Mus musculus: one gene and its partners. The protein of the gene in region 2 purifies or fractionates together with the protein of the main gene of each other region. This does not show direct contact. Links are inferred from orthologs where the notes say so. Each region holds a gene or a part of one and is shown on either strand. Other genes may lie near its edges.

Region 1 (3,604 bases), on a different chromosome or scaffold from region 2:
ACTTGGGCTGGTGAGAAGGTTCAGCGGGTAAGAGCACTGATTGCTCTTCCAAAGGTCCTGAGTTCAAATCCCAGCAACCACATGGTGGCTCACAACCACCCATAAGGAGACCTGACGCCCTCTTCCGGCACGTCTGAAGACAGCGACAGTGTACTTATGTATAATAATAAATAAAATCAGAAAGGAAGGAAGGAAGGAAGGAAGGAAGGAAGGAAGGAAGGAAGGAAGGAAGGAAGAAAGAGCAAGCAAACAACTCAACTCAAGGATAGGGACTGCTTGGTCAGAAGAGAAAGAGAAGAAGGAGGAGGAGCCGAGTAAAACAGGTCTTCTTCATACCTTGGAGTAAGGATTTCTTTGTATTGTAGTTTCTCAACACGAGTTGTTGCAGCAACAGACATTGGGATGACAATGTTGTTAATATCAAATGAGCTCTCTCCCCTTCTCCTCCTCACTGGCTGCTGTAAGATAAAAGTTTAAGTTTCAAGGGAGGTACAAAGTCACAAATTTAAAACCATTAGTCATATGATAGAATGACCATACACACAGGTCCTTGGGTAGCAGTGGCCACCACAGCAGTGTATCTAAACTCTTTGGAAGCAGAGGTCTTCGGGTGCACATGTACGGCTGCATGTGCGGCAGCCCCAAGGAGTAAACCCCATTCACAAGGCACTCTCCATAACCACCCTTCTCCTTCACTAGATTCTTATACGTGGGTATTCTAGATTTTAAGCCAATTTGGTGGTAGTGGTGGTGATGGAGTTCCTATTACTTCATTCTATTAACATTCCTTTTTTTGTTTGTTTTTTGTTTTTGAGGCAGGGTTTCTCTAGATAGCCCTTCATGTCCTGGAACTCACTCACTCTGGAGACGAGGCTTACCTCAAAGTTAGAATCCACTGTGCCACTACTGCCCGGCTTTAACATTCCTCTTTTTTTAAAATCTAAAATCCTTGTTTTAGAGCTGGAAAGATAGCTCTGTGGCTAAGAGCTACCCTTGGAACAATGGTAACTAATTATATTAAAAGCACTAAATTCTTTTTACCAGAAAAGAGGCTAAAAGAGTAAGCCCACCTTAACAAACCACTTTACCTTAGCTGCTGTGACAACACCTTCCCTCTTGAAGATCTCAACTCCTCAGCTAAGTCTGTACCAACCACCTTCTCAGCCCCCACATAACTCTCATCTTTCTATTATTTTGGGGAAAGAGAAGAGTGGAAGGAAACTGAAAAGAAGGACCAGTCTATAGCTTCCACCCCAAGAAGATGTGTTTCCACAGTAAGTGAGAACATTAAATCTTTGGGGAAATAATATTTCCAAGGGTCTAACAGAAGCAGAGTTGGGCATCTATGTTAGGACACTAGAAATGAATAAAACCAGGTGTAGTGCTATACACATTTTTAATCCCAGCACTTGAGTGAGAGGCAGATACAGACAGATCTTTGTTGAGTTTAAGGTTAGCCTGGTCTACACAGCAAGTTCTAGAAAAGCCAGAGTTACATAGAAAGACTCTGTCTTTAAAAAAAAAAAAAACAGACAGCCAGGCGTGGTGGCACATGCCTTTAATCCCAGCACTTGGGACGCAGAGGCAGGCAGATTTCTGAGTTCGAGGCCAGCCTGGTCTACAGAGTGAGTTCCAGGACAGCCAGGGCTACACAGAGAAACCCTGTCTCGAAAAACCAAAACAAAAAACCAAAAACAAAAAACAAACAGAGTGAATAAAGCAGCGAGCCAAACGATTGAGTCTCCTAGACAGAAGAAAATCTCTATTAGCTGCTTCTGCCCAGAGAGCAAATACCTTGTTCTGAAACAGCCTGTTAACTGAGCTATAAGAGGTAATAGGGAAACAGTGGGATGACAAATATGTTGTCATGGCAACAATACAGCTGGAAACACCCAAGAGGTCATACCCAGACCACCAAGTGTGGTCAGCCCACTGGGAGGGTTAGTAAGAAAGATAAGCTACTACCCCCTAATCAACTATTGTACCTCTTTGGAAGGTGAGATAATCTATTCATTTCATTATCTTAGGACACTATAAGAATATTAAAACACAGATTTTCAGATGGTGTCATGAATGATTTCAGGTCATCATATTTTAAAATTTATCCTATATCAGCAAGACTAAACAGTCATTGACCTCAGAAATGGTTGAGATTTTTGGAAACCTTATCCAGCTGAGTTCTATGAGTGAGCGTTAGTGACCCAAAGGCTTCTGTTACTGTTACACCTTGGCTTAAGTTCTCTGATCCACACAAGAAATGAATCTTGAAGGAGCCTTGGGAGAGACAGCTCTTCCTCTCTTAGTCAAGAACGAAGCTCCTGCTAGAAAGAGCTATGTATTTCTCCGGTACTTCTCAGGCCTCTAGCCTGCACCCTCTGCTTCTACACCCCCTTCTGCTAGCACTCATTTACAACAGAAACAAACAAAGAATCTGGCCTTTCCCCCTCTATTTAAGTATCTTTTGGGTGGTCTTAACTATGTATGTAGCCTGAGCTGCAAAACTCATGCTCCTCCTGCTCAATCCTACCCTAAGTGTTACTGTATGTCTGATTTTTTTTTTCCCCCCGAGACAGGGTTTCTCTGTGTAGCCCTGGCTGTCCTGGAACTCACTCTGTAGACCAGGCTGGCCTTGAACTCAGAAATCCTCCTGCCTCTGCCTCCCAAGTGCTGGGATTAAAGGCGTGCGCCACCACACCCGGCTTTTTTTTTTTTTTGGTATGTCTGATTTTTAAAATTTGCTAAGTATTTTTTAAAATTAACAGGATTTCAAGATGCACACAAAATAATCACAATGTGTTGAAAGACCATCCTGTTACCATCTTGCTTATCAACCTAAATTTGGCATATCACTCTGCTCATTATTCAATAAATCTTGATTCCCTGAATAAATGAGGCAATAAGAGCCCAAAAGGAGCTGGGTGTGGCAAATGTCTTTAACCCCAGCACTTGGGAAGCAGATGCAGGAGGATTTCTGTGAATTTTGAGCCAGTGAACTATAGGACTATATAGAGGAACCTTGTCAAAAAAGGGTGGGGTGGGGGCAGGGGCTAAAACATTAGCACGCTATGCATAAAATATGCATTTAGTAAGTTAATTCTAAATGGTCTAAGTCACCACTCTCCAGAATCATCAGGGCTGACAGAAAGAAAGAAAGAAAGAAAGAAAGAAAGAAAGAAAGAAAGAGACAGACAGACAGATTTACCAAGTCCTTAACCTTCGAGTCCATGGTTCTGTTGTTTTTAAATGAGAATTACTCTCATTACTCTTCTCTCTGTCTGATTATGTGAAACCCTTGGCTAGTGTGTGAGGAATACTATACACCTATTCAGACAGAGTCTTTGAGACGAGAAGGTGAAGGAAGAAGGCTATTTGGAAGAGGCTCTCTGTAAGACCAAAGAACAATGTGAATTTGTACCTGATTCCAGGAGCGTAGTGAGCACATTTTGTGAGCTTAGAGCTTCTCTGACACCCCATCTCAGGCCAAGGCTGTGTGATGTACTGGTCAGAGAGCTGACCTTGTAGTCAGACTACAAGGGTTTGAATCACAATCACACCCCTCAAACTGTCTCACCTTATGAAACACACACAACCTTGGGAAGTCTTA
Region 2 (4,308 bases):
AGGACGCACCGTGAGGGACTGACTGACTGCCTCCCTCCTTCCACCCAGGCCCCAGGGCCCCAGGCACTCACAGCCCACATAGTGAACATAGAATTCTTCTCGGCCTTCCTGGTCATTCACTCGAGACTGGATCACTTCTGCTGAATCTGTCAAGAAAAAAAAAAAGGGGGGGGGATCTGAGGGGTAATTTCCAGATCCATCTGTCCACACCTGCCATTTACCCTGTAAGGTGAGCCAGGTTAGGACTTGGGGGAGGTACAGGGGGTGTTACAGAGGACCAGAGATTTGAAAACTGAGAAAACCTGGTATTTAAGCATGTTTAAGACTACCTCCAAAGTCAGTGCTCATTCACTCATTTGGGGGCCATGAGAGCTGGCTGGGGATTAAGACAGTTTAAGCTTCCTTCACATTTCCTAAATGACTGTAGCCCCATGGTTTGACTTTCTGAGCTTTAGTTCCTTCATCTGGAGAATACCTAAAAGGGTGACCATGCTTTAGTCTGTAGCACAGGGACAGATGCAGAGATGTCTAGAAATTAATGCTCGTCTGGCGCTCCACTATGTAATGCTGGCCACAGTGAGAAGATACAGTGAGGAATCACAAGAGATCTTGTTCTCTAGTGTTTTCCCATTGACAGAGAAAGGCAGATAATTTTAACAGTATGGCTGCCGGGTGTGGTGGCGCACACCTTTAATCCCAGCACTTGGGAGGCAGAGGCAGGCGGATTTCTTCTGAGTTCGAGGCCAGCCTGGTCTACAGAGTGAGTTCCAGGACAGCCAGGGCTACACAGAGAAACCCTGTCTCGAAAAAACAAAAAACAAACAAACAAAAAAACCCAGTATGGCTGAGGTACGAAAAAGAAAAACGTGCCAGACCATGCAAGCAACTGACTTTGCCTGAAGGGGTCTAGAATGGGATCACCACAGGAGATAAAGAGACTAGGGGGGCTGGTGAGATGGCTCAGTGGGTAAGGGCACCCGACTGCTCTTTCAAAGGTCCGAAGTTCAAATCCCAGCAACCACATGGTGGCTCACAACCACCCTTAATGAGATCTGATGCCCTCTTCTGGTGTATCTGAAGACAACTACAGTGTACTTACATATAATAAATAAATAAAATAAAAAAAATAATAAAAAAAAAAGAGAGACTAGGGGCGAGAGAGATGGCTCAGTAGTTAAGAGCATTGACTGCTCTTCCGCAGGTCCCGAGTTCAAATCCCAGCAACCACATGGTGGCTCATAACCATCTGTAATGAGATCTGAGACCCTCTTCTGGGGTGTCTGAAGACAGCTACAGTGTACTTACATATAATAAATAAATAGGGGCTGGTGAGATGGCTCAGTGGGTAAGACACCCGACTGCTTTTCCGAAGGTCTGAAGTTCAAATCCCAGCAACCACATGGTGGCTCACAACCACCCAGAATGAGATCTGACTCCCTCTTCTGGAGAGTCTGAGGACAGCTACAGTGTACTTACATGTAATAAATAAATAAATTTTAAAAATAATAATAAAAAATAAATAAATAACTTTTTAAAAAACAAAAATTAAGAGATGAGTAAGAGCTAGCCAGGAAGACATGAGATTACTTATAGCAAGAGCAGGTGATAAAAGGCACATAAACACATAGTTTTGGCGGGCAGAGCAAGATTGGTCTGGCAATAGCCCTTACTAGAAGTGCCTAGAAACTGGAAAGGTCTCAGACACCTTTAATCCCAGCACTTGGGAGGCAGAGGCAGGCGGATTTCTTCTGAGTTCGAGGCCAGCCTGGTCTACAGAGTGAGTTCCAGGACAGCCAGGGCTACACAGAGAAACCCTGTCTCGAAAAAACAAAAAACAAAACAAAAAACAAACAAACCCAGTCTAAGGAGTTTAATTATGTTTTGAGACAAGGTCTCTCTATGTAGTCCTGGCTCTTCTGGAACTTGCTATGCAGACCAGGCTGGCCTCAAACTCACAGCCTTCCCAGGGCTGGGATTAAAGGTGTATGCCACCATGACCGACATTTATTCGTTTAAATTAGATGTATTTATCGTATTAGGGGGTGGGGGATACTCTTATATGGATTCTGAGGGCAAACAGTAAGAATCATTGTCTCCTTCTACCATGTGGGTCCTGGGGACAGAACTCAAATCACCAGACTTGGTGACAAATACCTTTATGTCCTGAGCCATCTCAGCTCGGAGTTTATTTTGAAGCCAGCAGCTTGAGGTTTATTTTGAAGAGGGAAAGAAAAGGAAGAAAAGATAAGGAAGATAAGGAAACGTGTTTTTAGGAACTGGGCTGTCCTCTTTGCTGGCGATGAGGGGGCAAGAGAAATGTAAAGACAGACAACAAAACACCAATGAAGGAACAGATATAGCAAAAAAAAAAAAAAATGAAGCCTGAAATCGAACCAGAGTGAATGTTCACAGGCCAACTCTGTATTCAGCTGACTGGTGGCTTTACAGGTGAAAACAAGCATGGCCTGACTCCAACCTCCAATTACAAAGTGGGCTTCTCAGCTCCCGAAATCCCGCCTTCTTACCTGAGTCACCACCCTGGCCCCAAGACTCCCAGCCCCACAGAGCGCCCATTCCTAGGCCATGCCCATTCCCTAAATCCCGCCCCTAGGCCCTGGGCCCCGCCCTCACGCCAGGTGCTATCCGGCCGCCGGCACAGGTACGTTTCTCCGATCTCCACGGTGACTTCTGGTTCGCCACGCGCCGGAGTCGGCGGAGAGACCCGGCCCGGGGACCGGGCAGGCCCCTCGACTGCTGCATTTTCCCCCGGGCCGGGCTCTCCCTCCCCTACAGTTCCTGAAGTTGTTGCAGCAACTGCAGCTGTAGCTCCCTGTGCCGCCATTGCTGTGCCGGAAGTGACCGGCCAGAGAGCCGCTTTTATTTCCGGATCAGTGGGGGCGGGCATAGTCTTGCGTGTTGGAGGTGGGGAGGTTGTGACGTGGCAAGGTTTTGTTTTGTGCGTACTGCGTGTGGCTGTTGTTGCTAAAAATTGGCCCAACTTGAGACAGGGTCTAATTACAGTCCTAACTGACCTGGAACTCGCTATGTAGACCATACTGGCCTCGAGATCCACCTGCTTCTGCCTTTTGAGTCCTGGTATTTAAAGACGTGCACCGCCACACCCGGACTTAGCTATTTTTGTGGAGTTGTTTGTTGTGACATAGCCCGGGCTGCCTACACACTTGCTGACCTAGCTCCTCCTGCCTTGGGTTCCCGAATGCTGGGATTAAAGGCGAGCATTCCTATTTCTTGAGAAAGGTTCTCAGAGGCTAGCCTGAAATTCATTGAACGTGCAGCAGTATCCTGGGGATTACAGTTGTACTCTATCACTGAATTAAGTTTTATGGGATGCTTGGGGCCAAAACCCAGGGCTTTTTATATGCTACCCACTCTATATTTGCGTCTCTCGCTCAGGGTGGGAGCAAAAACCAGTTGAGACAGGAAAAGAACAGGTGTGCCAAATAAACTACCTTCAAAATAAACTTACTCACTCTTTCTCTCTCTTTTTTTTTCAAGACCGGGTTTCGCTGTGTAGCCTTGGTTGTCCTGGAACTCACTCTGTAGACCAGAAATCTGCCTGCCCCTGCCTCCCATGTGCTGGAATTAAAGGCCTGCACCACCACTGCCCGGCAACTTCTTTTCTCTTAAGAATTTCATGTAGCGGGGCTGGAGAGATGGCTCAGCAGTTAAGAGCACTGACTGCTCTTATGAAGGTCCCGAGTTAAGACCCCATGGTGGCTCACAACCATCCATAACAAGATGTGACACCCTCTTCTGGAGTGTCTAAAAACAGCTACAGTGTACATGTATTTACATATAATAAATAAATAAATCTTTGAAAAACAAAAACAAAAAACCTCGAGCGTGGCCAGGGAGAACCTTGAGTGGTTGTCTAACCTCCACCTTTCAAATGTTGAGGTTAGGATGGCACCACACCAGGTTCATGCACTGCTAGAGATTGTACCCGAAGCTTCATTAATGTTAGGCAAACACTACCACTGAACATCTCCAGCCAAGAAGGGTTTGAGCAGGGAGACAGTGCCTGGAGAATCTGTAGTGACACTCCTCCAAGTACAGAATACCAATTCTCTGAGACTCAGTAAAGGTTAAACCATATATACATATGGTTAAGTCATAGCTTTATATAAGCTATATAGCAGCATTCAAGGTAAACTTATTGGTAGATGAATTGGAGTAACACATGTCTAATTTGCTGTTTAACTTCACCTTTCTACACACACACACACACACACACACACACACACACACGTGTTTTCCTTAATTACTGTATTGGGGCACCGGACACCT
Region 3 (4,354 bases), on a different chromosome or scaffold from region 2:
TGTTCCATATTCTGCACATTGCTAGCATCTTTAAATACAAATTTTAAAACAATATAGTTTAAATAGCATTTAAAGTGAGACCTATAGCCTCAAGGGGGACTAAATTCATTAGATTCTAATATTTTCATCCCATCTAATGAAGGGTTGACACTTCTTCATTAAATTTAGATTAGACTCTGAAACAAATGATCCTGATTTATAAATATATGTTTTTTATTTGACAACATTATACATTTTATTGTTTAAATCAAGTGTTGTTTTAAATTGCATGTTTGTTTTAGGTGATCCATAATTCCTACAGTCATCCTAGTGTATCAAGGACTTCTACTGCTAAAACAGTAATTATTGCAAACATTGTAAATCACAGTACTGGGGGACAAAAATATTTTAGAACTGTCTTCTTGCATTGGCATTTTCTTGTGTGTGTGATCTTACTTGTATTCTAATTTTACAGCAAATTAAATAACCGTACATAATATTTTAAAAGTGGAAAGTATAATTCTGCCTGTGACAGAAAAAAGATTCTAGAAATAATAGAAATATTAATTGTATTGGACCAATGAGAACCACAGAGGATTAAAAAGAAGAACATAAAGACAAATATCATCTCAGAACTGTCTTATTCGCATTGTTTGTAGCATCACTAAGCTCAGTATAACTCTGCAACTATTAGATATATATTTCTTGAATGAATGTCTTTTGAATAAAAGGATGATTATGAAGATTTTCTCAATTTACCAAATCTCTTGAAAGTCAGAGAAAACATTTCTATTTTCACTGTACACGATGAAGCAAGATAAATATAAGTGTCATTTGTATGCAGTGATGCACTTTTAAAACGTGGGAGGCAGAGTGATGGAGTGGGGAAAAAAATAGATGTTTTCTCTCAGTAGCACTTTGAATGATAACTTGTAGATCTTCTCAAAGTTGGGATAGGGATTCTCCTGCTTAATATAGACTTTGGTACATGGTAGGTGTTCAACAGAGGTAGTCCTATACTATTAATTGTGAAGACTTGTTCTATTAGTACCCTAAACTTCTTAGGAATTTTTAAAGATTCTTAAGAATCTTTTATTTGTTTTATAAAGATTTCTGAATTTGGAAAGTAGTATAAGTGTGCAGTTTTGATTGTCATGTGATATATTTATAGCAGAGTGTCGTGACAAAGTATCCATTCAAAAGAGACAATTCTGATTTTGTAATACAGATCATTGTGTCTGTCCTTAACGTGGGATAGAACAGACACGGTGAAAAGTGTGTGGTGCATTGACAAGTTTGCCCAATGTGTCAAGTAGTGGGATTTGTTAGAAACCAGCAACAATCACAAAAGGCCACCATCCTCTTGACCCCACCAAGGGGAATCTAGAGCCCAGGTCTTTTCTATGTGTAAGTAGCCCAGCCTGGCCGAAGCCCCACCCCCAGAATAGTCCTCCAATCGGCTGCGCCGCGCCAGCCCGGCCCTCGCGTACCACGTGACTCAACCCAGCCCGCTTCCGGCGCGTCGCGGGCGGCTGACGTCCCCGGCCGGCGTCGCGTCAGGGCTGGCCGGCGGCGGTGGTGGCTGCGGAGGCGGCAGCGGCGGCAGCGACGGCGGCTGCGATGGTAGCGGAGCCGGAGTGGGCTTGAGGGCTTCCTCCCGCGTTTCCTCGGGCCGACGCGGCGCCGCGGGCCCGGCTCACTCGGCTCCCGCTCCCTCCCTTGCTGCTGCCCGGGCAGACTCGAACGAGGCCCGCGCTGGCCTCCCTGACGCGCCCCGGCTCGGCCCCGGACGGCCCGGCTGCTGTGCGGAGACGAGGCCGAGTCGGTAAGAGGCGGCGGAGGGGCCTGGAAGCTGCCGGGTCCCCGGGCTGCGCTCGCGCCCGCGTTGCTCTCGGCCGGCGTCCCGCTCCCTGCCATCCGCTGACCCTATTGTCTGCGCGCCGCCGCGCTACCCCCGCCTTCCTTCCCTTGCCGGGCCGGCGGCTGTCAACCTGCAGCTCCCGGGCTCCGGGCCAGCCGCGCCGCGGCCTTTCCTGGCTCCCCTTGACACCCCTGCGAGCCCGCCTCGTCCCCTCTGCTTAGCTTCGCGGTCTTTCCCTCACCGCTCTCTAGCTCTGTGTGTCTGTCTCTTTCCTCTCACTGTCATCTCTGCAAACTTCCACCATCCTTACAACGAACTCTTTTTTACCGCTTTCTGGTCTTTTTTCATTTCTCTTTTTGTTTCCTTCTCCCCTTTCTCGCTCCCTGTTCCACAGTTTCACTTTAAGGGTCTGTCCAATAGATTGTCTTTCGTAAAAGTTCCTAATTCTGCCGCCTCCCTCATTCTCCTGTCTCCTCACAAGAGAATGGAAATCGTCCCTGCCTTTTGAGGTCCTCATTCCTGAGAGTCACGGGGGATTAGATTTACAGGCTGGAAGTTTGATCTTAGGAAATGTTAGCATAACTGGCAAACTGCCTCTTCGGATTCTATTTCTGTACATTGAAGTAACAGCCTTGTATGTTGCACACTTACAAGATTTCTATTTAAAATATTTATGTTTGTTCCCATTACACCTAGTGTGTCCTGGCTATGAATCTTAACCTCACTGATGCCATGTCAGGATATTCTATATCCCCTTAGGCACGACCTTGTAAACTTGATCCCCCATATTTTTGTAACAAGCGTTGATGCTATTTCTTTTCTTCCCTTTTCAGATTAAAAAAAAAAAAAAAAAACAGGAAGGGACATTTGGAATTCTGTTTGCTCTTAAGTTTTACCTGTTTTAAACAGTGGCTAAAACATTATAAGATTTTTCGTTTGTGTGGGGATTTTTCATTTGTGTGGTGTTTATTTTTTTTTTTTTTAAGCTAGAAAGATCCTAGTGAGTAGTAATGTAAGAACATGTTCTAAGCATCTCCCTCCAACAAGAGCAGCGTTAGATTCCTGGTCCCCAACCCGTTGTATTTTGATAAGACCGTGCTTGCCAGTTATTATTTTCATTCCACTATTGATACCTTGAGAATATATGCATTCTCTTCAAATACTCGGTAGTCAAAAAGGCTGCACGTGTGCTAGGCAAGCCAGTGTGGCCAAAAGATCATTAAATACTTAATGTAAATGGGCTATAGTGAAGTATAGTGAAGTAACGACTCCTGCAGGTTTTTTTTTTTTTTTTTTTTTTAATTGTCATTATGGGCACAATGTTGAGTTAATAATAGAAACCTTACCCAGAGTCTGGCATAATTTGATTATGAAATGTGAAATTTAAGAAAAATCACTTGAAGCCGGGCGTGGTGGGGCATGCCTTTAATCCTAGCACTCGGAATCTCAGCACTCGGAATCCCAGCACTCAGGAGGCAGAGGCAGGCGGATTTCTGAGTTTGAGGCCAGCCTGGTCTACAAAGTGAGTTCCAGGACAGCCAGGGCTACACAGAGAAACCCTGCCTCGAAAAAAAAAAGAAAGAAAGAAATAAAGAAAGAAAAAGAAAACTCATTTGCAAGTCTTTATGTTAAAATGATGCTATGGTGTGCTGTTGAGATAGTATGCACTAACTACCCTGATTTTCCAGAAAGGTTGGTGAGACTCCTCCCTGACACAGTGCTTGTCTGCTGCTTTCTCCACGGGTTGTATGTTCTGACATACTAAATGATTTCTGGAAATTAAGTGGAAGACAATTAAGCTGCTCCCTTCAACAGTTTCAGTAAACACAAGTGTCTTCATTTTAAAACTCACAGTGTTTTCAGCCTTCCCTGGGTGGCTCTTTCCTGAGCATTTTTTTTTTTTTTTTGTCAGCTAAGGTTTGAGGCATTTTAGCTATTAGTCTTACTAGCTGTCGCTTCTCTTTAGCTGTTTTTCCTTTCTGTATTTATCTTTTATAAATGCCCTACCAAAATTTCCTTCATGTTGCATCCTACCTATAAGCTTTAGTGATTGTTCAATTAAAAGTCTGGCAAATATTGTAACGTCCCATGTATTATTTTGAAAATTAGTTAAATTCTGTCCCTTTAAACCGTATTCCATGTGCATCTCATGCGTTAGGATCTAACTTTCTTTTTTCCTCTTGAGGTAGTGGAAAGAAAATACTGAAGAATAGGATCTCAAGATGAGTAAAAAGCCCCCAAATCGTCCTGGAATCACTTTTGAGATTGGTGCTCGTTTGGAGGCACTGGACTACTTACAGAAATGGTATGGAAAATAACAGAATATTGACCCAAAATTTGTAGCTTTAATAAGTCACTTGCTATTCTAACCACATGTCAGTCGCATTAGTGTATTCATCCCTGAATACACATACACATTGGGTTTAGGGTTAGCATTTAAATACTTCATTGTACAGTGCTTTAGCTGTTTGAGATTTGAAAGTGTTTGTCTAGAGTAAAGGGCAGATAGAGAGG

Evidence for each region.
Region 1: the proteins of Kat8 (region 2) and Kansl1 purify together in Homo sapiens (affinity purification with western blotting; 4 studies listed by BioGRID and IntAct, with this or other methods). This does not show direct contact. The link is inferred for Mus musculus from reciprocal best matches to the Homo sapiens genes KAT8 and KANSL1.
Region 3: the proteins of Kat8 (region 2) and Phf20l1 purify together in Homo sapiens (affinity purification with mass spectrometry; 3 studies listed by BioGRID and IntAct, with this or other methods). This does not show direct contact. The link is inferred for Mus musculus from reciprocal best matches to the Homo sapiens genes KAT8 and PHF20L1.

The regions. Positions count from the first base shown.
Region 1 is NC_000077.6:104,337,790-104,341,393, forward strand, and holds part of Kansl1 (KAT8 regulatory NSL complex subunit 1), read right to left. Parts: intron 459-3,604; coding exon 337-458; intron 1-336. UniProt on the Homo sapiens protein: Non-catalytic component of the NSL histone acetyltransferase complex, a multiprotein complex that mediates histone H4 acetylation at 'Lys-5'- and 'Lys-8' (H4K5ac and H4K8ac) at transcription start sites and promotes transcription initiation.
Region 2 is NC_000073.6:127,911,066-127,915,373, reverse strand, and holds the start of Kat8 (histone acetyltransferase KAT8), read right to left. Parts: upstream 2,858-4,308; 5' UTR 2,843-2,857; coding exon 2,632-2,842; intron 2,616-2,631; exon of another isoform or gene 2,575-2,615; coding exon of another isoform or gene 2,526-2,574; intron 2,361-2,525; exon of another isoform or gene 2,155-2,360; intron 147-2,154; coding exon 72-146; intron 1-71.
Region 3 is NC_000081.6:66,576,044-66,580,397, forward strand, and holds the start of Phf20l1 (PHD finger protein 20-like protein 1), read left to right. Parts: upstream 1-1,528; 5' UTR 1,529-1,804; intron 1,805-4,025; 5' UTR 4,026-4,062; coding exon 4,063-4,145; intron 4,146-4,354.